Linked DNA regions of Elephas maximus indicus. The protein of the gene in region 2 purifies or fractionates together with the protein of the main gene of each other region. This does not show direct contact. Links are inferred from orthologs where the notes say so. Each region holds a gene or a part of one and is shown on either strand. Other genes may lie near its edges.

What was found.
Region 1: the proteins of KPNA2 (region 2) and CHD8 purify together in Homo sapiens (affinity purification with mass spectrometry; 4 studies listed by BioGRID and IntAct, with this or other methods). This does not show direct contact. The link is inferred for Elephas maximus indicus from reciprocal best matches to the Homo sapiens genes KPNA2 and CHD8.
Region 3: the proteins of KPNA2 (region 2) and PHF10 purify together in Homo sapiens (co-immunoprecipitation; 3 studies listed by BioGRID and IntAct, with this or other methods). This does not show direct contact. The link is inferred for Elephas maximus indicus from reciprocal best matches to the Homo sapiens genes KPNA2 and PHF10.

Annotation. Positions count from the first base shown.
Region 1 is NC_064828.1:31,812,895-31,820,373, reverse strand, and holds the start of CHD8 (chromodomain-helicase-DNA-binding protein 8), read left to right. Parts: upstream 1-4,431; 5' UTR 4,432-4,493; exon of another isoform or gene 4,494-4,538; intron 4,539-7,479. UniProt on the Homo sapiens protein: ATP-dependent chromatin-remodeling factor, it slides nucleosomes along DNA; nucleosome sliding requires ATP. Acts as a transcription repressor by remodeling chromatin structure and recruiting histone H1 to target genes.
Region 2 is NC_064837.1:55,934,699-55,942,439, reverse strand, and holds the start of KPNA2 (importin subunit alpha-1), read left to right. Parts: upstream 1-4,570; 5' UTR 4,571-4,684; intron 4,685-6,052; 5' UTR 6,053-6,075; coding exon 6,076-6,150; intron 6,151-6,297; coding exon 6,298-6,435; intron 6,436-7,741.
Region 3 is NC_064819.1:242,847,789-242,855,592, reverse strand, and holds the start of PHF10 (PHD finger protein 10), read left to right. Parts: upstream 1-4,756; 5' UTR 4,757-4,779; coding exon 4,780-4,866; intron 4,867-7,804. UniProt on the Homo sapiens protein: Involved in transcription activity regulation by chromatin remodeling. Belongs to the neural progenitors-specific chromatin remodeling complex (npBAF complex) and is required for the proliferation of neural progenitors.

The DNA.
Region 1 (7,479 bases), on a different chromosome or scaffold from region 2:
ACTATTGCTTCTTTTCTCTCATTGGTAAAGGGTGTCAAGATTGGACCCCAGCAGCCTCATTCGGCATCAGTGGGACCCTGCGCCTCTCAGCAGAACGCTCTAGCATGAGAATACAACTCTGACTATTTCTAAACATCTGGCCTAAACTCTTTTTTTCTTCCTGGAACAGCTTCAGATCAACAGGCTTAAAGGAAGAGGTCTTGCTTGCTTTGGCTGAGAGAATACTCTCTGTAAGGTGTGATGTTTTGCCTTTTCCCTTAAGGACCAGAGAAGGATTTGGGCCCTTAAAACTGACCTATAATTCTTCAGGGATGTAAGCATTCCCTATAGCTTAGGGCTTTTCTCGTCCCCCTATTTTAATTTCTAAAACGTTAAGATCAAAGCTGATAGTCACTGTAGTCCACAAATAAATTATTTTATAAGCATACCCATTCTGCTCCCCAACAAGAATTAGTAACAAGGGTCAAGGATGTTCTGCTTCATCGCTTGAGAATACTGGGATTTAGTGAGCTGTGGGTGTTAGATCCCCTGCCTAGAAATTTCATTGATTTTTTAACTTACTTGCCTTTGGGGGTCCAATTGCCACTTCCTGAGGGATCTTCCAGAAGGCAGTTCCTTCTACCTGAACTGCTGAAAGATGCTCAGTACTTTTCTAGACCATCCCATTTCTAGTTTCTGTCCCTTAGAGTGACTAAAAAACTTTTGAGAGCAGTGAGATGGTCCTGGACCTATGACCACTTATCATTAACTAAAAAAAATATTCTTTCACTGCTTGTTTTGTTTCAGGGACCAGACCTAACATCGTAGTGTCTTTCACCAAACAGACTGCTACTATTGCATCATACTCACTTCTTACTAGACAATTTAAACCTCCTAATCCAACCGAACTAATCTGCTTACTGGACATGATATATTTACTCCCACTTCCATGCCCTGGCTCGCACCCTACTTTCTGCTAAAATTATACCCAAAGTCTAAAACTTTTTCCTTCAGGAAGACTTCTGTGACTGACTTAGGGACTTCTAAGCAATTATTGACATGGTATCCCTTTTAGGCTCCACCTTTCTTATACTGTTTATATTTATTTGTATTAATGTTGTTTTACAAATATGTTTTACAGTTGTTTTATGTATAGGATCTGTCTCCCCATGTAGTTCGTAAGCTCCTGTCATTCCTTCAATTTTGTAAAATCTCCACGCCCACCACCATTCCTTCACAGAGCCCACTGCTACATTCATTACATGATCATTGAATTTGACTGACTGACTTAAAGAGTTAGAACAGGTTTATTTTAGACTTCAGAGTAAACAAAAGGCCTTAGAGTCATCCCTTTGATAACTTTGTTTCAATCTCTTCTATCTGCTTACCCTAGGTCCCATATTGCTCTTTTCCTTCTCTCTTCCACTCTTCCTAGGACCTCTGCCTCCATTCCATGCAGCATACAGTAAGGCTGCCTGTTTTCAAGCTGTCAGCATAAGTGGATACTTACCAACCATTCTCCTTTTCAAAAGCATATAATACTATCCTAGCAAAATTTGCTTTTGCTTCATTCCGCACAAGGCCTTCTAGGTCACTTGCTATATCTTCTTGCCTTGATTTCCCACTCTGTTCCACAACACTGAGGTCTCATGAATTTTTCTAACATTTTTGTTGTTGATCAATTGTATCATTACTGTGTGTATGCATGTATCCAAGCTGCTCATATGTACATGTCATTTCTTATTGTATCCCAAACATAAGTAAATAATCTCCTCCTAAGGAATTTTATCAAAGTTATTGATAAAGCTTCCTTCTAACTCCCATATTCAGTTTTATTATCCAAGCCAACTTATAACCTCTGTACTTGGGCATTTCACCAATTGTAAGGGAAACACGAGAAACAGAAGCAATTTCACAGCCTGTGCTGATCATTGCTGATGTTAAGTGAAGTGACATTGAAGAAATATCGTAGAAGGTGGATCTCCCACCCCATGTGAAGAATGGTAATTATGAGATAATCTGAGTATTGATTTTTGAAGGCCAGCACCATTGGAAATCAAACTAACCCCCCCAAAACCAAACCCACTGCCATTGAGTCCCTTCTGACTCATAGCGACCCCATAGGGCTTCCAAGGCTGTAAATCTCTATGGAAGCAGACTGCCACATCTTGATCCCGCAAGTGACTGGTGATTTCAAATTGTTGACCTTTCAGTTAGCAGTCAATCACTTTAACCATTGAGCCACCAGGAGATCATACCAGTTACAGGAAAAGATCATTGCAAGTAGCTGAAATTATTGGACCAGGCACATTCCCTATCTATAATACCTGTAACTAGTTCTCTGATGATGGGTCCATTTTGTACCAAATAACATTAGAAGGATAATAGACTCTCATTCTAGAGACTACTAATAAATAAGATCATATCTATATATTCATTGCAAACACATTGCTATGGTAAATCCTAACACCAAACTCAAATTTGGTATAACGACAGCAGTAGCCAGGGGAGAATTTGGCCAACAAACTTTGTTCAATATACAGGAGAACTTATTTGGTCAACTCTTATCACCTCTCTGATAAAAGATTGAGTCATATGACTCTAAGGTTTCTAAGCTCCTACCACGGATGACCATGAGACTGTGTTATTCTTTGAGAGAATTCTTTTAGTGACCTGGAGGGACTCCTTTTGCTCACCAAAAAAAAAAAAAAATCAAACCCATTGCCATGGAGTGATTTCGACTCATAGCGACCCTATAGGATAGAGTAGTAGAACTGCCCCATAGAACTTCCAAGGAGCGCCTGGTGGATTTGAGCTGCCGGCCTCTCGATAGCAGCCATAGCACTTAACTGCTGTACCACCAGGGTTTCCCCTTCACTTACAGGCTTAAAAAAAATAAATAAATAAAGACTTTTTGTAGTGAGTTGTAATAAGATTTAGACTGAGAAATACTGGAAAACCAGTGTCACTCAGTGCAAGAAAATTTCACTAACAATGAAATCATTTCCTCTCCGATTTAAAAGCAGCCAGTAGAAAATTACTTCCTCCAGCCAGTGCTTCTATGGCCGGGCTGCCCCCTATGGTTACTCCATACTTTGGACTCAGAATGGAGGTTAGGGCTTTAGTTTTTTTTTCCCCCCTTCTCCTTTAAGGCTTCTAGTGCAAGAAAATTTCACTAACAATGAAATCATTTCCTCTCTGATTTAAAAGCGGCCAGTAGAAAATTACCTCCTCCAGCCAATGCTTCTATGGCCGGGCTGCCCCCTATGGTTACTCCATACTTTGGACTCAGAATGGAGGTTAGGGCTTTAGGTCCCCCCCACTTCTCCTTACACATAGTTTCCCGTTTAAGGCTTCTAGTGCAAGAAAATTTCACTAACAATGAAATCATTTCCTCTCCGATTTAAGAGCTAAAAAAAACTACCGCCGTCGAGTCGATAGCAGCCAGTAGAAAATTACTTCCTCCAACCAATGTTTCTACGGCTGAGCTGCCCCCTAAAGGACCGTCTTGTCCCTACACAGAGTTTTTCGTGTAAGGCTTCTGTCTTTTCCATTGTATGCATGCACAAGTAGTTGTGGTTCATTGATGAATTTGAGGCCATTTTTCTTTTTTTTTTTTAATTGAAAATTTTTCCAGCTCTTTATTTCCAACTGATTCACAACCCTCTGTGCTGTCAAAGTCCGAACACTGGAACTGTCAAGTCAGAACACTGGAAATTTTGCAAGAGCAGCATAAGATTTAGAAGCATCTAGAATAGTTTTTTTTTTTTTTAGAATAGATACATAACCTATGTTGGTTATGTGCTGATGCTCTGAGGAGTGAGGTGTCTATAAAGGATTATTCCAGGAACTGGGAGCACCCAGTCTCATCTGAAGAATTGGTTTTTGCTTTCAATGGTAAAATTGCTTCACTTGTGCAGTTAAGTGGGAGGGTGATACGGTTGCTTCTAACCATATTCGGCATTACAGAGTCTCTCCCCTATAATGATTGAGGTTACATCCTGATTATATAAAGGTGAGAATGTTGGGGCTGGTCCCGAGTAGTCGGGTAAAACGTGGAAAATGACTTCATATTGCTCAAACACTCCTTCCCTCTCCCCGCCCCCAAGGCACCAGCCTGAGCCAAGATGGCTTCCTAGACACAGGTAACTAAATGTTTTAGTTTAGAGCGCCCCCAACGGCCGGGGTCTAAAAAAAAAAAAAAAAAAGATGCCGAAAGGCCTGAGCGCCTGTGAACTGAGCCATCAGAGACGAGCTGCCGCCAGATTTTTATTTTCAATCAGGCATATCTGTGGTTGCCTACGTACCCTTCCCAGCCTTTTAGGACCTCCCACTCACAGGAGACTTCCTGGATGGCGCTCACACTACCATGCTGGAAGAGGCCGGGCTTCAGCCTTGCCATTGGTGGGTGGGAGGGCAGGTGGGCGGAGCCGAGGGAGAATGGACTACTAGCAAGCTCGGTTGAGACGAGAGCTGGCCATGCTCCGCCGGAAAGCGCCTTGTTCTCCGAAAGGGTGAGTTGAAACGGGGCTGGAAAAGAAGCACCAGGACTTGTTCAGGTAGGCTTCCCGCTCACATGGACTTCTCAGTGCTGCTCCACGAGTCCTAGCAAAAGCTAAAGCTCTTAGAATTAATTTCATTAACTCATTATCCTCCTTCCGCTCCCGCCCCCCGCCTGTCCCCCACTTGTGAGGAATCAGGTGTTGGGTGATGCTCTGGACTGAACCATTCTTCTTTGTGAGAGGCCAGGGGAAGAGGGTGCCTGCGGGCCCGCGGGGCCCGAGTCCGGCCAACCCGTGAGGGGCCTGCCCGGGCCGCTGTTGCTTTTTTAAGGCTTGTCATTGCATTACTGGGCGTGGTATAGATTTGAGGCAGCTCCTTGTTCTCCTTTCTCCTTCAGGGGAGGGTAAACTCCCCGACTCTGTTTGGTTACTCCATACTTTGGACTCAGAAGTGGGAGGTTAGGTTTCTTTTTCTCCCCCCCCGCCCCTTTTTTTTAAATAATAGAGGTGAGTAAGAAAGCATAGGGTGAGCGTGCGCAGGTTGCTGTACATTCTTAGGTACAATTTCTGTGGGTCTTCTGGGAGAAAAGGGCAAGCTGTTGGAGTGTGTTTAGACATGGTGGGAAGAGAGGAGCGCAAGCCTTGCATCTCCTTTGACACATATGCAGAGTTCAGTGGGTTTATGGTGCATTATGTAAACTCTCCCCAGGCAGAAGACCCCTCTTCTTGCCTCGGGGCAAATGCAGTTTCTTTATTTACCTGTGTGTAGTGTCGCAGGGAATTTCTCCGCCCAGTGCAGCGGCTGTGCAAATGCAGCAGCCTCTGCCTTTTTTGGAGCAGGCCTGAAGTGATTAAGGTCTTCGAAGAAGACGTACACACACACGTATATTTAGTGATCCAGTCTCATTTCAGTGATTGGGCACGGTGAGCCAGCCAGTAGTCAAAGACTTGGAATTCAATGTCTTTTTTTAAAGAGCAGATATAGGGGAGCACACCAAGTACACAGCCAGAGGCGTTGCATGATCAGTGTCTGCTGCAGGCCTTCATCACACCAGCATGGGCGGATCGTTTAATCTCCTTGTTGCTCTGAGCCTGTGAACTCAGTCAGAGACTCACTGACTGTTTGGGTTATCCTTAGCAGCAACTGAGGTCCTATCTGGTGCAAGGCACTTTAGATACTAGAAGGTGAGTTTGTGATTTGGGTAATGTCCTCTGCTAGTTGTTTAGATGATGACTTCTACTTATGCATTTCTTCTGCCTTGGTCACCAGCTAGATTTCAGAATAAATTGCAGTCAGCCTCGAAGGGCCTGAGTATGGGAAGCTCCCCATTCCTAATATTTTGGAATGATCCCACCCCTTGAGAGGGGAAAAAGTTATGATAAGAAAAACGATAGTTGCCATTTAAGAAGATCTATGTTGCAAGAGTGGCATGTCATGATGAAGAACAGTGGCCAAAAAGAGATAGGCACAGGCTTGGAGGAAGGTTTAAAACTGAAATAGCAAAGGAGTAATGGATTGGGATAAGGCATTTGATGGAGCAATATATGGGTACTTGTACAGTTCACACCTTCTCCATGCTTTAATCTAACCTGTGCATATGGCCTTTGGTTTTATCACTTCTCAAATTAACAAAATCCATTTAAATACTAGATAGAAAATGAATCTGCCGAGCTGATCGTGACTTACCAGGAAACACAGATCTTGTGTTTCCCAGGGCAGCCTTCTCTGCAGCATTGCTGGGTGATGGGGTGGAGAAATCTTGGCATTATCGTAACCACCACTGCAGAGCTTTAGTTGAAATAGGAAAAAATTGACATTTTATGTGAAGGGTTGAATTTCTGAGAGGTAATGTAGGATGGTGAGGGGGAGCATTCTTTAAAATAAGCCACTGTACACATCTCCCACCATTTAATATTAATTTGAGAGTCCCAAGAACTGTGCTTGTTTGAAAGAATGAGGTTTGATATTCTCATCTGCAAGAGGATTGTAACATTTTCAGAGGTGAACGCTAAGTGCTTTGGAGATACTGTTTGTCCACAGGCCTGGAAGAGTTACGCTATCTTCTAACCTTACATTGAGCCTAATTAATACTTAGGGGATTAACAGAAGACACATTTTTCTGGACCCTCAACCTCCACCTCTAGAAGTCATTTCACTTGTGGACTTGCATTTGAGTAAGATTTGAGTAAGTCCTTAATCTGCAGGTCACTGCTGTAACTGACCTAGTATTTACTATTTTACCTTTAACATTTGATTCATTGACAGACTATCATGTTTCATATCTTACTCAGTTTAATTTCTTATATTTCCTCTTTAATTTTTTATTCTTTTTCCCCACAAAGTTGGTGGTCCTCCTTTCACTCTACTGTTAAATGTTCCTGTTCACTTTGCTTTTTGTGTTAATTCACTGACATTGCACTTCTTTGCCTCTGTTTTGCTGAGGCCTTTCAGAGAATGTAAAGAGACCCTAATTTCCAAGATGTTTTTCTTTGATACCGAGTATTTGCATTTCTATATGAGCAAGCTGTTCTATGAGCCACTTTCTTTTGCTTAAAAGCTTACTTACCATTAACTGAACACTAAGTTTTTTCCTGAATAACCTTTTTTCTCTCTTAACCTCTAACTTTTGTTTTGTGTGCTATAATTTAATTCTTTTTTTGTGTTTTCTAACTATTTCGTATTGCCTTTAAACTTTCCATTATATTTTTATTGACAAAATAAGTTTACCTCTTTGTAGTTATGGAGTATTTTAGATTTAAATTACAAAGTATGTTAGTCCCTGAGATTTCTCATTAGATTGTTTTGTAAGTAACTTACTTCTTTAGTCCTTTTATTGCCCATTACTTTCTGTCCTTCGCTATAGGCTCTTGGTTAATGCCTGATGAAACAAAATGGTCAACTTTAAAAGATCTTAGTTCTTGTTTTCAGATTACATCAGGAGACTTTAAAAAATAACACAATTTCTACCCATTAATGTATGTTACATAAAACCAAAAA
Region 2 (7,741 bases):
TCAGAGCTGACTGAGAGTATGCATAGCCCTGCTCACACCCTGAATTCTTACTTCTAACCTCCAGCTTTTGGAAATTGTTTAAAAAAAAAAAAGACCAGGCAAACAAAGTTTTAGGACCTTCCCAGGGCCTGGGAAGGGGGCTGTGTGAAGGACAGACCCTCAAGCTTGTGCTTCATTGGCAAATCTACTCTAACCAGAACTGACAGAAAGAACAAAACATATCAGATAACCACTATATTTATTAAGGAACATTTAGGTTCCAGCTTTTTGGTGCACTATACAATATGGCAATGAACATACCTTTGCATATACTTTGTTGTATGTATGCCAGTATAGTATAAGGTAGTTTCCTAGAAATGAGATTACTTGTTATACAATATATACATGTTTAAAATTTTTTTAATAATTTTTATTTTGCTTTAAGTGAAAGTTTACAAATCAAGTCAGTCTCACACAGAAACCCATGTACACCTTGCTACACACTCCCAATTACTCTCCCCCTAATGAGACAACCCACTCTCTTCCACTCTCTTTTTGTGTCCATTTCGCCAGCTTCTAACCCCCTCTACCCTCTCATCTCCCTCCAGGCAGGAGATGCCAACCTAGTCTCAAGTGTCCACCTGATCCAAGAAGCTCACTCCTCACTAGCATCCCTCTCCAACCCATTGTCCAGTCCAATCCCTGTCTGAAGAGTTGGCTTCAGGAATGGTTCCTGTCCTGGGGCAACAGAAGGTCTGGGGGCCATGACCACCAGCGTCCGTCCAGTCTCAGACCATTAAGTCTGGTCTTATGAGAATTTGGGGTCTGCATCCCACTGCTCTCCTGCTCCCTCAGGGGTTCTCTGTTGTGTTCCCTGTCAGGGCAGTCATCGGTTGTAGCCAGGCACCATCTAGTTCTTCTGGTCTCAGGATGATGTAGTTTCTGGTTCATGTGGCCCTTTCTGTCTCTTGGGCTCGTAATCACCTTGTGTCCTTGGTGTTCTTCATTCTCCTTTGATCTAGTACCTTTTTTATATTGGTAGATCTGCCAGAAATGTTCTATTTTGCATTCCCACCAACAGCATATGAAAAGCTATCTATTTCTTCAAATCCCTACTCCCGTCGCGTTGCTGCCAAATCCCTACTACACTAAATGTTATTGGCCACCAAAATGACAAAAACAGTATCTCATTTTTAAAAACTGCTTTTCTTAGTGAAATCTGATATTTTCATTTATTTATAAGTCACTTATATTTCTTCTTCTGTAACCATGCCCATTTTTCTATTGGCATTTTTCTATAAAGTTGTTGGTCATTTTCTTATTGATTAGAAAATTATCTGGTTATTGATTATATGATTATCTGGTTATAAAATATGGATAGAAGCTCTTTTTTGTGTATGTAAGGAGCCATATGTCTTACCAAGCATGCGATCTGCCCAATCTATTGGTGTACGACTTGGCTTAATCTCTTTTATTAAACCTGCACGTACCTACTGTCTGCTAGATAACTTATTCAAGCCCCTGGCTTCAGAGAGCATTTATGCCATCCCAAATTTAAATTTCCTGACAGCATCTTTTGAGACTGAGGCCTGTATAGTCAAGTTTCTACTCAAGCATTCACTCATCTACAAATATTTATTGTGCAACTTCATGTGCTAGACACTGTTAAGGGTGTTGACAATTCAGTAGTGAACAAAATAGATAAAAACCCTTGTCCTCATGGAGCTTACACTATAGTGCTAGTGTAGGTTAAGAATCCTAGTGTCAGTTAAGAATCTTTTGGATGCAAGTGACACAGCACTCAAATTGGCTCAGCACAAAGGGGAATTTATCAAATGATGTAACCAGAGAGCCCCTGGGCAGAACCAGCTTCAGGCTTGGAATGATTCAGGCAATATTGCCACGATCCACCTCTTGGATTTGCACCTCTGGCTCCTGTCATCCCAGCACACTTCCGGTGGAAGAAAAAGGACTTCTCTCTCTTGGCAGCCTTAGTATAAGTGTTGTTGCACCATGCCACATCTTCATCCCTAACCAATCCCTGTGTCTGGGAAATGGGACGTGCTGATTGGCTTAGGACAGACAGGCTCCTTTTCTGAATCTGGAGCTGCAGGCAGCACATCCAAACTTCAGTGGCTGGGGAGGGGGGAGACTCATGGTTCCCTGAGGCAACATTGTATCTTTCAAAGGCATCCTTCACTTTTTTTTTTTTAATTTTTATTGAGCTTCAAGTGAATGTTTACAAATCAAGTCAGTCCGTCACATATAAGTTTATATACACCTTACTCCATACTCCCACTTGCCCTCCCCCTAATGAGTCAGCCCTTCCAGTCTCTCCTTTTGTGACACTTTTGCCAGCTTCCAACCCTCTCTACCCTCCCGTCCCCCCTCCAGGCAGGAGATGCCAACACAGTCCCAAGTGTCCACCTGCATCCTTCACTTTCGATGTGTATCTGCTTTCAGGTGCAAGTATGGAAGTGGTTGAGAGCATGGGTCCTGGAAGCAGACTTCCTGGGTCTGAGTCTTGTCTCTGTCATTTACTGGCTGTGTGACCCTGGATAAGATTCTTAACCGCTAGTGATTTAGTCTTATGTGAAACGTTACAGACAACCTTGCAGAGTTGTGGATATGAAATGTGTTCATGTGTATAAACATGTCGAACACCTCCAGGCACATAAAACGATTATTTTCAAGCAACAGAAAACCCAATTTAACTAGCTTAAACAATAATGAAAATGTATCCGATCAAATTATTGCAAAGTCATTTAATTGCAGCCTTCAGAGGTAGGGCAGGCTTTTGATCAGAGCTCTGGTTTGGCATCTCTACAGTTTTCTTATTCAGATTTCTAGGGCTCACATCCTCTGCTCAGAACAGAGCAAGCTTTCCAACCTTCAGCCATCAAACAAAAGGCATAGGCTTCCCAACAGGGGGAACTTAGGTCACGTGCACACAACTGAACCTTTGCAGCAGCCAAGAGAATGCTCTGCAGTCATTGGTTTAGGCATGAATTCCTTCCATGTTCTTGAACCTAGGGGGTGGGGGTTATGCTGATTGGGTAGTTTGTGAGTAGGAACAATCCCTGTGGGTACTGCAAAATGAATGAGACTGGCATGGATGCAAGAATGGACAAAGTTCACAGTTTGAATTTATTTGTAGTGAAAAAGAAAATATAAATTTTCTAAAATTAACTTTTTTTAGAATACAGAAAAATTGCAGAGAGAAAACAAAAATGGCCCACAATACCATCGTTGAATTTTTTTTTTTTAAAGTACACGGCAAGAAAACGCAAACATTTATACGGAAATGTATAAAATACAACATAGAACGTTACTGGAACAATTGGCAACACTAACGCTGGAAAATGGACTGTATATTTAAAAAGTAGCATCAAAATCAATTTCCTGAACTTGAATGCAGTGTGGTTATATAGGAGAATGTTATTCTTAGGAGACACACGCTGAAGTATTTAAGGGTAAAAACCTAAAACAAAACCCGTTGCCGTCGAGTTGATTTCCTCGAATGGTGCAAAAAATAATATGTAAAAATCATACATATACATACACATAGTGTGTATATGTATACTAATATATATAACTGCATGACTATAACAGATAAACAGCAAAAGTAGCAAAATGTTAACATTTGGTAAGATGGGTAAAAATTTGCAATTATGTATTTTAAGTTATTTAAAAATAAATGGTTTGAGAATGCGTGTGTGGAGAAACAAGCATAATCTTTTTTATTTGTGGCTTCTTACACAGTCTTTTGGAGCCCTGGTGGCGCAGTGGTTAAGAGCTACAGCTGTTAATCAAAAGGTCTGCAGTTCCAATCCACTAAAAGCTCCTTGGAAACCCTATGGGGCAGTTCTCTTCTGTCCTTTAGGGTCGCTATGCTTCGGAATCGACTGGACGGCAAGGGGGTTTTATGGAGGGGGAGGTGAGGAAGATCTGCGTTGCATTTTTTAGTTTTAAAAAAATTATTACATCATAAAAGTCTATTAAAAAACCGTTGTCGTCGAGTGAATTCCGACGCATAGCGACCCTATAGCCCCGTAGGGTTTCCGAGGAGAGCTGATGGATTCCAACTGCAGTCTTTTTGGTTAGTAGACAAGCTCTTAACCACTGTATCACCAGGCCTCCAATCCCGCCCCCCACCCCCGGTTCCTTTCTGTGTCGTATCTGGGAAAAACAAGTCATAGCAATGTTTTTACATAAAGATGTTTTTCAAAAATGACTTTCAGAATAATTTGAGGTACTTGGCCAAAACAGCCCCCCAGAACACCAACAGCGACTGCACCTACAGGGATGCCTTTCGGAAGCCGAGAGCGGCCCGAGCCTCCGGACACGCTGGGTTGGGAGCCGCCCCTTCGCGCGGCCTGCCGGGATCTGGAGTCCTCCCACTCTGGACCGCAACTGCAAGGCGTTCTGGGATCGCCAGGCCGCTCTCGTCTCGCGATGTTATCTCCCATTCCCCTAAGCTCTATGACCCCCCCCCAAACGTGTTTTTCAAATCCACCAATGGATGCATAGCTTAGGCTCGAACCAGCCAATCGGAATGCGGAGCCACCGGGAAATTTAAATCGCGCCGGCCGGCTGCACGAGCCACACCGTCTCTGGTCTGAGCCGTGTTGGACGACTGTGGAGCAGTCGGCCCGCAGCGTGTGAGCTCCCCGCACCGCCTTCTGTGGAAGCCTAAGGCCGCTCCGTAAGTACGAACTCAGGCCGCAGCCCGACCGCAGCGATAACGGCTGGCCCGCAGGGCGCGCTCTGTTTGGAGGAGGCGGGAGGCGGCCTCAGGGATACGCTGGGGCTGGCTTCGGCCTTCCTCGTTGACAAGGCCTCTGGGGCGTCGTTTGTTGTCGAAGCGGCTTCGTTTCGCGATGCGGGAGCTGGAGCTTTAGGGCTCCGAGGTTCGGCTAACGGCAGCGAAAGCCTTTGTGCGTCGCGGCCAGGAGAGGCAGAATGAGACAGGCCTGAGGGCCAGTGTCGCGGACAGGTCCTGCCTCTCCTCCGCCCTCGCCCGCAGCGTCTTCCCCGGGATGGGGGCCAGGGGCTGGGGCGGGAGGTGGCAGTTGGAGGACCTGTATCTAAAAAAGCAGGCCAAGAGTCGGCAGATTGTCAATCATGTCGTAGACGAAAATAACGGGATTAAAGATAGCAAGCTGTAAGGAGGGTTTTTACTTTTGTCGTCTTTTGGAGATTGCTCCTTAGTATCTGAGCCTGAATGAGGCAGAGCTGATGGCAGCCTAATTCAGTGCGTTCGAACGCGAAATTCTGGAAATTAAAATGCTTGCGAGATGCTTAGGGTGCAGGACTGCGTCGCAGGTTTTCATTGTTGACAGGAAATGATACGGCAGACTCCATAACTTAATGATGAGTCAGATTTTAATTTTCAAATGTGGAAAATGCACTCTTTTTTATGGCCATTTGAAACCAATGAAAGTAGGAAGACTCCTGGAGAGAGCCTCCAGTTGATCTGAATTTATTGCCAGGTGGACGTGGGTCTTAACTGCAAGTTAATTCGGTTCCCCCACTTTGTCTTCACTTAGCTGTTTTGGACCCGCGAGAGTCTAGAGCTGCGATGTCCAGTATGGTTGTTGCCAGCTGCATGTGGCTATTGAACTCTTGAGATGTGCGTAGTCAGAATTGGGGTGTGCTGTAAACATAAATTACACCGTGGATTTCAAAGACTATGTAAAAGAATTAAAAATGTCTCATTTTTTACTATTGGTAACATGTTTAAGTGATGTTTTGGCTTAAATAAGATTAATCTGTTTATCATCGCCTTTTTATAATACAGCTACTAGGAAATTTAAAATTCTGTGGTTTGCTTTGTATTTCTGATGGACAACACTGGTTAAACTCTTAGCTCTTGTCCGCGGGCGGGCGGGCGGGCGGGGGGGGGGGGGGGGTGCGGTTATTGTTTGGCCAAAACGATCTTGTAATGCTGAAAACGTGAAATTCCTTCTCCAGTATAGAAGTGTGGATTCAATATATGCTTGGAAATTTTATTATTGCAAAGGCAAAATGATAAAAGGGAGTTTCTTTTTCTCTCCTCCACCCCCCAATCTAGCTTTCTTCCTTTGTTTCACAACCATGTCCACCAATGAGAATGCTAATTCACCAGCTGCCCGGCTTAACAGATTCAAGAACAAGGGGAAAGACAGTACAGTGAGTACCTTCTGTTGCTTTCTTATGATACTTTTTAATGGGAAGATGTTTGGCAAGGGATCAAAAACTTGAGGGAATTAAAAACGCCCTCACTTGATAATGAAAATTATTAATAAGGTGAAACAATGTTTCTTTTCTTTACTCAAGGAAATGAGGCGGCGCCGAATAGAAGTTAATGTAGAGCTGAGGAAAGCTAAGAAGGATGACCAGATGCTGAAAAGGAGAAATGTCAGCTCTTTTCCTGATGATGCTACTTCTCCACTGCAGGAAAACCGCAACAACCAGGTAAATGTATTTTAGTTCATGAATTATAATAAATCCAGAAGATTAATATGGGTTTTTCTTAGAAACTTAACATTAGTAGCAAATCTGTGAAGATCTTTTTTCTGTAATTAAGGTAATGGAAGGTTACCGAAGTTTTCTTCTCTCCTGCCCACACCCATAATCCAGTGGAGCTGATTTCCAGATCGTTAGCTTCAGGTTTTCCTACGCTTCTAGCTGCTAGCTGGGTCCCTTGACCTGATAATTCCAGTGTTAACTGAAAGTGTGTCTGGAACCACCCACTTTCTGGCTTATTGTTGTTGAATCAGTTCCCACCCATAGCGACCCCATGTGACAGGGTAGAACTGTCCTACAGGGTTTTTGTGGCTATTATCTTTACTGGAGCAGATTGCCAGGCCGTTCTCCTTTGGAACCACTGGATGGATTTGAAGCAACAACCTTTTGGTTAGCAACCAAGCGCTCAACCATTTGTGCCACCAGGGCTTCTGGCTTATTACTGTCACCAGCTTTGTTCAGGCCTTTTTTCCCCTGAAATAGTTATAGTAGCCTCCTAATTTAGCTTCCCCTTTTCATTCCATGCCACATACTAGTGCTGTACTTTTTTCCCTAAAATGCTGATGTAAACATGATCTCTCTCTACTCAAAACCTTGGATAGTTTAAATTCCATACTCCTTCATTTAGCATTGAAGACTTCATTTGAGTTTTCAAATTTATCATGTTCATCTTTTCTTCCAAGACAGTTAACACTTTCCCACCTCTTGGCCTTTTTCACATTGTGCTTTTCTTAGCACTCCACATTTATCGTTTTTTTTTTTTTTTTTTCTTTCATTGAATTATCTATGTGGTATGCTAGTTCTAGAGTACTACACTCCTGTCTTCTCCTCATGGCACTTTCTGGTCAGTCCAACAGGGAAGACTCTCCCTCCTTAGAATTCCTGTAACACTCCGATCCTGCACCAAGGTTAAAGAGTTATCTTTTTTTTTTAATGGTTGTTTCTCTACTTGCCACATTTACTTTGTTTTTAAGCTTCTAGGAAGAAAAGGTCACTGTCTTTTTGAGTTAATCATCACTTTGCTTCTCAACCTTTATACTATGAATCACAATATATGGCGTTTGTATTTGCAGCAGTGTACCATGGAAATTCTGAGATTATAAGCTTAGATAGGAAAATTCCTAGCATGTTGTCTGTAATTCATCCCTTTCTTTGCTGAGAAAACATCTGAATGCAAGTGATTGCAATTTATGTTGAAATAACCTTCGGTCTGCTGTAATTTTTCTTAATTGTTCACCACCTTTTTTAGTGATGA
Region 3 (7,804 bases), on a different chromosome or scaffold from region 2:
GCAGTCACCCTGAAGCTACCTCACCACCCTGTTAAATATCCAGGGCCACAACTTCTGAATTGCACGCCTACCGACTTTAAGGAACCATAACTAATCACAATAAATGTCACCTGAGTGTTCACTTTAATTACTGTCCTCCAATCTGACTCCCTGCTTCTCAGATTTTTACGGTGGTTTCTGGAACTTTCTTTTACATGGGTCCACAAAGTCCCCTGTATTCCCAACCCTCCTCCAGATGTATTTTGAGGCTCTTTCCTTATAAACAAGCTGACTCGCCATAAGGAAGAGGTCCACTGCAGCCCTCTGAGATGAGAGCTGTATTTTCTTTCTCTCCCTAATGCTGTAGAGTCTTTGTTGTTAAAACTCTCTAGCTCCTTGGCATTTATGGCCTGTGGATACATAATCCTTTGCCTCCATTTGCTGCAATTGCCTGTAGTCCCCTGGCTTATTCCTTCTCATTACTTGAAGACTTGTGTTACTGGATCACAATCTTCTTTACCCAACTCCTGCCACCATTCTTAGTGACTTAAGTATCCACATAGAAGACCCATTTAATAAGGCAGTACTTGCTTTTCAGTGTTCTGATATGCATAAATTTTAGTTACCATCATTTAGCTAAATAACACTAGTCCCCCAACAACATGGCCCAAATCTCAGTTGCCATGGTGTATTAACTGTGAGAAACTGCATAAGGTAAACTTCACAGCTGGCTCTTTGATCCACAGATCACATATGGAGATAACAGATGTGTGTCATGCTCCTCTTTTGAAGTCCGTCAGGTTGGTCGCTGCGTGTCTGCACTCAGGGCTTCAGTTTGCACAAACAGTAGAGTGTGTAGTTATGCTGCCTCCTCATCTCCCAGTGATATACCCACTTGATGTTTTATTAAAAATGGGTAATCCAAAGGGGGAACTGGCCAAAAAGGTCAAAATGTACAGCAAAGAAACAAAAAGTGATAAAGTTGGAAGGGAAATTTGGATGTGATTAGGAGATTTCAAAATGAGGACAGCAAAGCAAAGACAGGATGAGATCTAGGCCTGTGTGAAGGTAATGTAGGAACATCGGGAAAAAGTGCAGTGAATATAAAAAACAAGGTAACGTTGCTTCGGTATTTTTTAGCTTAATTGCACTAGGAACAGAAAGCTGTTCACAATTGAAATGGAGACTTTCTTCTACCTTGGCTTGAAGACTGCATTAATAATAATAATAATAAATACCAGACAGTTTGATTAGCACTCAGGACAAAGTGTGGAAATCAGTTGTCCCACTGAAAGAAAACAGTAATTATAAAGAGACTGAACCTTTTACTGCCAGTGAAGGCCGGTCTTGTTTCAGAAGTCAGCATGATTGATTCATGTCAGGCTATCTGGTAAGCTGCTAGCGCAGGTGATGACACTGCAGGCGTCTGCACCCAGAGCTCGCAGGAGAGTCATGACAAAAGGGGACCATATCCACATGGAGCAACTCCACATTGAGGAAACTCTGGGAGGCATTCACGACATTGAAAATACAAATGAGAACTTGTTGGAAGCTGACCCAAACTTAGAAAAGAGTATGACAATTTATCAAGGTATAGGAAAGATAAGTTATAGAATGAGAAGGCAAGCAAGGTTCACATTACTCTTTTTTTTTTAAACAAAGAACTCTCAATGTTTTTGCTGTTTTAAATTACAAACATACTAAATAAATACTAGCTTTACAACTTTTTTCATTTCCCTATACATTTAAAAGAAGTCCCTGGGTAGCACAGATGGTTTGTACTCGACTGCTAACCTACAGGCTGGTGGTTCAAACCCATCATGCAGCGCCTTGAAAGGCCTGGTGATCTACTTCTGAAAAATTAGCCATTGGAAACTCTATGGTGCACGGTTGTACTCTGATTCACATGGGTCTCCACAATTCACTGACAGCAACTAGCTAAAATAATAGGTCACTCAGAATTGCCTCCTTAGTGCTCTTCCCTGTCTTGCACATTGGTAGTCTGAGTATTTGTTGAAATGAAATGTTTTATATTCGTATTTGGTCTAGAGACAGAATAGCTAAGAAGAGTAGGGCAAAATAACTGAATAATTTAACATTAAGCTCTTTGCACGGAAATCTGACCGAGTCCCCTGAACAGTGAAGAGAATTTTGGGGCGAGGTGGGGCCGGATGGAGTGGGTGGAAGGCTGCATCTGCGACCTTCACTCTCAGCTTCTTGCCTGGACTTCAGGCCGTTTTCCACCGTGGGCTCCTGGAATAGGGCGGGGAGCAGGTCTGACTGAGGTTGTGGGAGAAAGCGAAGTCTGAATTAGGAGAAGTTCCGGAGCCTGAAGTTGTTGGTGATGCCGTCTCTGATTTGATGCAAGTGAGAAGGCCCGGGAAGGGTGGGCTGGGAGGGTAAATGAGGGTGGTTTGTATTAACGTGATGGACAAAAAATCATTCATGTCTCTCAAGACTTTTGGCTGCTGCGTGTAGGCAAAAATATGAATGAGAGAGAAGCCATGTTGTACTTTAAATCCAGTTGCCCGGACTAACGTCTCATCTACACTCTGACAGTCAAGCGCCTGCTGAGAGGTCAGCTTTGACTCATTTCTGGCAGTTCCGGAGACAGTCACAGTTGTCTCCCACGTGTTAAGGTTGAGTCCCCAACATTCTGCTTTTCTAGAGAAGTCCTGGAAGTGCCTCGTGAGGCCGGAGGACTAGGGGTGGTAATAGATTCAGTCCGCAACGGAGAGCCGCCGTTTACTCTCAACGGGCTTGCGCAGTGCGCTTTGCAGTGACCCTGACGAGCCACCCGTGAGAGCCGGGCGCGCGGAGCCAGGGCCGGGCAGCGCTGAGGGCGTGTGTGCTCGCGCCCGCCGCTCCCGGACGCCGCCCCCGCTCCCGCCGCTCCCGGACGCCGCGTGCGCACGCCGAGCCTGGGTGGGCGCGCGCTGGGCCGCACGCGGGAGCGCCTCAGCCGCCGGCCGCCAGGGCTGCTCCCGGGTCTGCGTGAAGCGGGCGGCGAGAACAAAGACGGCGCGGGAGGCGGCTGCGGGCCGGTCGCGAGGAGAGGCGGGGCAGCGCTAGGACCGGGGACTGCGGGGCCGGGGCCTGAGGGCACCGTGGGACCGGTGACGGCTCGTTCCCGGGTCCGAGCACTGACGGGAGCGGCGCGGCTCCGCGGGCGCTGACGGGCGGACAATAGGGAGAGAGTAACGTGGGGAGGGGTCGGTCCCGCGGGCTGCGGTGGCGCGGAGAGGGGGCAACCGGCTGAGGAGAGAGGCGGGCCGGAAGTGCGCCGGGACGCAGAGCAGCGGCAAGAGGGGGCGGGGCCTAGGAGCGCGCCCGCCTTGAGGGGTGCGGGAAGCGCAGCGCCGGGTCCGGCTGAGGGTGCGGAACTGGGGGCGGGGCTAGGTGGAGGGGCGGGGCCTCGGGGGTGGTCCGTGAGGGGAAGGTCCCGGCCGCGAGGGGGCCGGGCTGAGGGGAGGGTCCAGGTTGAGATGCCCGGCCGTGAGGGGAGGGTCTGGGACGGGCGGTGGGGCGGAGCCGTGGGGGGGATACGTGAGGGGGCTCGGCTGAGGGGATAGTGCGGGCTGAGGGGAGGGTCCGTGAGGGAAGGTCCGGGCCGAGGGGAGGGTCCGTGATTGGAAGGTTCCGGCGGCGAGGAGGACGGGCTGAGGGCAGGCTCCGTGACGGGGGGGTCCGGGCTGAGGGGACGGTGCGGGCCGAGGGGGTGTGGGCTGAGGGGAGGGTTCGTGAGGGGAGGGCTCGGGCGACGAGGAGGGCAGGCTGAGGGGAGGCTCCGTGACGGCGGGGTCCGGGCTGAGGGGAGGGTGCGGGCCGAGGGGAGGGTCCGGCCTGAGGGGACGGCCCGGGCCGCGAGGGGGCCGGGCCGAGGGGAGGGTCCGGGCTGACGGGAGGGTCTGTGAGGGGAGGGCCCGGGCCGTGAGGGGGCCGGGCCGAGGGGTGGGTCCGGGCTGACCGGAGGGTCCGGGCTGAGGGGAGGGTCTGTGAGGGGAGGGTCTGTGAGGGGAGGGTCTGTGAGGGGAGGGCCCGGGCCGCGAGGGGACCGGGCCGAGGGGTGGGTCTGGGCCGACCGGAGGGTTCGGGCTGAGGGGAGGATCTGTGAGGGGAGGGCCCGGGCCGTGAGGGGGCCGGGCCGAGGGGTGGGTCCGGGCTGATCGGAGGGTCCGGGCTGAGGGGGGGGTCTGTGAGGGGAGGGTCTGTGAGGGGAGGGCCTGGGCCGCGAGGGGGCCGGGCCGAGGGGTGGGTCTGGGCCGACCGGAGGGTCTGGGCTGAGGGGAGGGTGCGGGCCGAGGGGAGGGTCTGTGAGGGGAGGGTCCGGGCCGAGGGGAGGGTCTGGGCTGAGGGGAGGGTCCGGGCTGAGGGGAGGGTCCGGGCTGCCAGGAGCTTCCGGGCCGAGGGAGGGCCTGCGTCTGGCGGGCGGGGCGGGGCTCGGCGGCCGCGTTGCCGGCAGGGCGGTGGGAGGGGAGGGTGACGTGAGGAGGGGGCCGAGAGCGTCCGCCATCGCTCGCCGGCTCCGCGTCGCCTCCTGCTTCTCCGGCCCTCTCGGCGGCGGCACTCGGCGCGGCGCTGGCGGCGGCCATGGCGGTGGCGGCGGCCATGGCGGCGGCGGGCCGCGGGGCGCGCGGCGGCAGGGGCCGGCCCCCGGGCGGCGGGCGGGCGGGGGTGGCCGAGGGGGCGGGGCCCGGGGCGCGGCGGGCTCTCCGCGCGGCGGCGGCAGCGGCGGCGGCGGCAGCTGCCGGGACCAGGCGGCGGCGGCGGCGACGGCGGCGGCGCGGGGCGCTCGGGCTGATGGCGGCGGCGGCCGGCCCCGGGTCGGCGCTGTCCCCGCGCCTGTGCGACGGCGACCCGTCCGCCCCCGGAGCGCAGTCCCCAAAGGTGAGGAGGCGGCGGGAGGCGGGCGGCGGGCGGGTCCCGCGGCGGCCGGGCGGAGCTGTGGGCGCCGCCAGCCCGAGGCCGCGGCCGGTCCGAGGGGAGCCGCGGCCGGTCCGAGGGGCGCCGCCGCCGGGAGTTTCCGGAGAAGTTCTGTTCCTCCGCGCCCTCACGGCGCCCCGGCCCCGGACGTGCTCGGCTGCCCGGCGGCGGTTCACCCTGGCGCCTTCCCTGAAAACGGGGCGGTCCGGGAGTCAGGCCCCGGCGGCGGGCTCCGTGGGCGGCAGGTTCGCGCGTGGTTTCCTCTTTTCAAGGAGCGCGAAACGGCGAGACGCGGACGGGGGAATTGGAAGCCTTTTCCCAAAACTTTGCGGCCATTTCCGTATCTGAGACTGTAAGCTCAGTTCCTGAAAAGCTTACTCAGACTTTATTAGAGAAGCGTTGTGCTTCCAGGTAGAAACGAAACTCTTCATAAATAAAAGTCTATTTCGTATTAGTGTGGGATAGTGTGATGTTCTCAAAACATCATTCTGTGAATTTTTTCCGAGATACTTGACCCCTTATTAAAACGAGGGTTGTAAACAGCCCTGGAAACAGGACGTTTCTTTAGTGAACTTAGTAGAATGGCTCAACTAGCACGGCCGGGACGCTGGCGCCGACGGAGACACCTTGTGGTCGCACAAGGCTGTCCTGTGCCGGCCGTCTTCCTGCTCCTTGTCCTCTGGGGGACCTGGTGTTTCAGGTGTCCCGGCCAGTGAACCTAAGTAGACCAGGTGTCTGTCCGCACACCACTGTCGTCCTTGCAGCATCTCATGCAAGGCTGGCATGTGCTGGGCTCGGCCAGGATCCAGCCTGCAGGACGGGGTACCTTATCGAAGGTTGGAGCCACCTGTAACCACGAAACGTAAATGTCTGTTTGGGACGTTTGGGAGTTTTTGAAAACATAGGTCAAGGTTTCCAGTAAACTCTTAGGACTTAATTCTATTCCATAGTATGTTGGGGAAGACATTGCTGGCATTGTCTTGAAAAAGGTGAGCTAACCGAATTCTTACATAATAATCCATTTGCCTAGGATAGCAAATTGCAAACTCTTTATATATGGAGTTGTGGTTTCAGCTTTTTGAGGACTTATTTTAACTTTTATTATTGAGTATCTCAATTTTTTAGCTAAAGAGAAATATTTTTAAGCAGATTGACTTAAAAATCCTTAAAATGTTTACAAGCAAGTCAAAAAATAAGGATACTTTGACTGTTGAACTCTAGAGGTATTGAATATGAAATGTTGCAGTTGTAATACTACTTAATTGTAGTTGATTAGTAGTTTTTTTTAGTAGTTATTTCAATGTAAAATTTCTGAGAGTAGCTTTAGACTATTCTCCAGGTCCTACCTGGCTGATGGTCTTAATAAGAATATACAGATCTCTTTAGTTGAATGCTTACTTTATAAGGACTGAAAAACAGTATTTTGTACATTTTACTGAGTGGGGAAGGATGTGAGTAAATTCCTAACAGCTGGAGACGTTTGAGATATTTGAATAATTACCATTATAATCATAATATTAACTAACATTTATTGAACATTTAAGCTGAGGCTAAGGGAGCTCAGCTGCTGACCAAAAGATCAACAGTTCGAATTCACCAACCACTCCTTTAAAACCCTATAGGGCAGTTCTACTCTGTCCTATAAGGTCCCTGTGAGTCAGAATCGACTTGATGGCAGTGGGTTTGGTTCATTATTTCCTAGGCATTGCTCTATGTGCTTTCCATGCGTTAACTCATTTAATCCTTGCGTTAACCACATGAAATGGGCACTGTTACCATCTTGACTTTACAGATAAGGAGAGGCCCCTAAAGGATGAGCACGCAAGCTCTACAGAGGGGCAGCATCCGGTGATTCCATGCGTGATCACTACCCCATACTGCATCTTTGTTTTCCTTTGTAGGGTTCCTTTCATTTTAGTATGTAGCAAGAGGCCTGTGGTATGTTAACAAAATTGTATTAGTATTAGAAAGTTACAGTAATTTGATTTTTAAAAAATCTGTGTTTTTAGATCTTGTTAAGTGCCTTCTAGCTGGCTCTGACTCATAGTGGCCTTGTGTACAACAGAACGAAACACTGCCTGGTTCTGTGCCATCCTCACAATCATTGTTATGCTTGAGGCCATTGTTACAGCCACAGTGTCAATCCATCTCCTTGAAAGTCTTCCCCTTTTTTATTGACAGTCTACTTTTCCAAGCATGATGTCCTTCTCCAGGGACTGATCTCTTCTGAATAACTTGTCCAAAGTATGTGAGACGAAGTCTTGCCATCCTTGCTTCCAAGAAGCATTCTGGCGGTACTTCTTCCAAGATAGGTTTGTTTGTTCTTTTGGCAGTTCATGGTATATTCAATATTCTTTGCCAACACTATGATTCAAAGGCATCAATTCCTCTTTGGTCTTCCTTATTTGTTATCCAGCTTTCACGTGCATATGAGGCGATTGGAAACACCATGGCTTACCCCTTGACTAGTATGTGAATAAATCAATTTCCTAATGTCTAATTCCTCATTTCATTTCCTTAATGGAAATGTTGAACTTAAACAGTTAAAAACCAGTTACCCTGGAGTTGGTTGCCACTCATCGTGACTCCATGCGTGCCAGAAGAGAACTGTGCCCCACAGGGTTTTCAGTGACTGATTTTTTGGAAGTAAATCACCAGGCCTTTCTTCTGAGGCAGCTCTGGGTGAATTCAAATCTCCAGCCTTTCAGTTATCAGCAGAACAGGTTAACTGTTTACACCACCTTTGATATTCTTGTCACATAAAGGATTGCATTAAAAGTTTTTAAATCTCTCCTTTTTGGGGGATGTGAGTATGGCTGTACAGATTGATGACTTTTTAGGGTATATTTTTGCTAAATTTTTGAATGTAAAAAAAATATTTCACAGGATTGGTAATCCGATT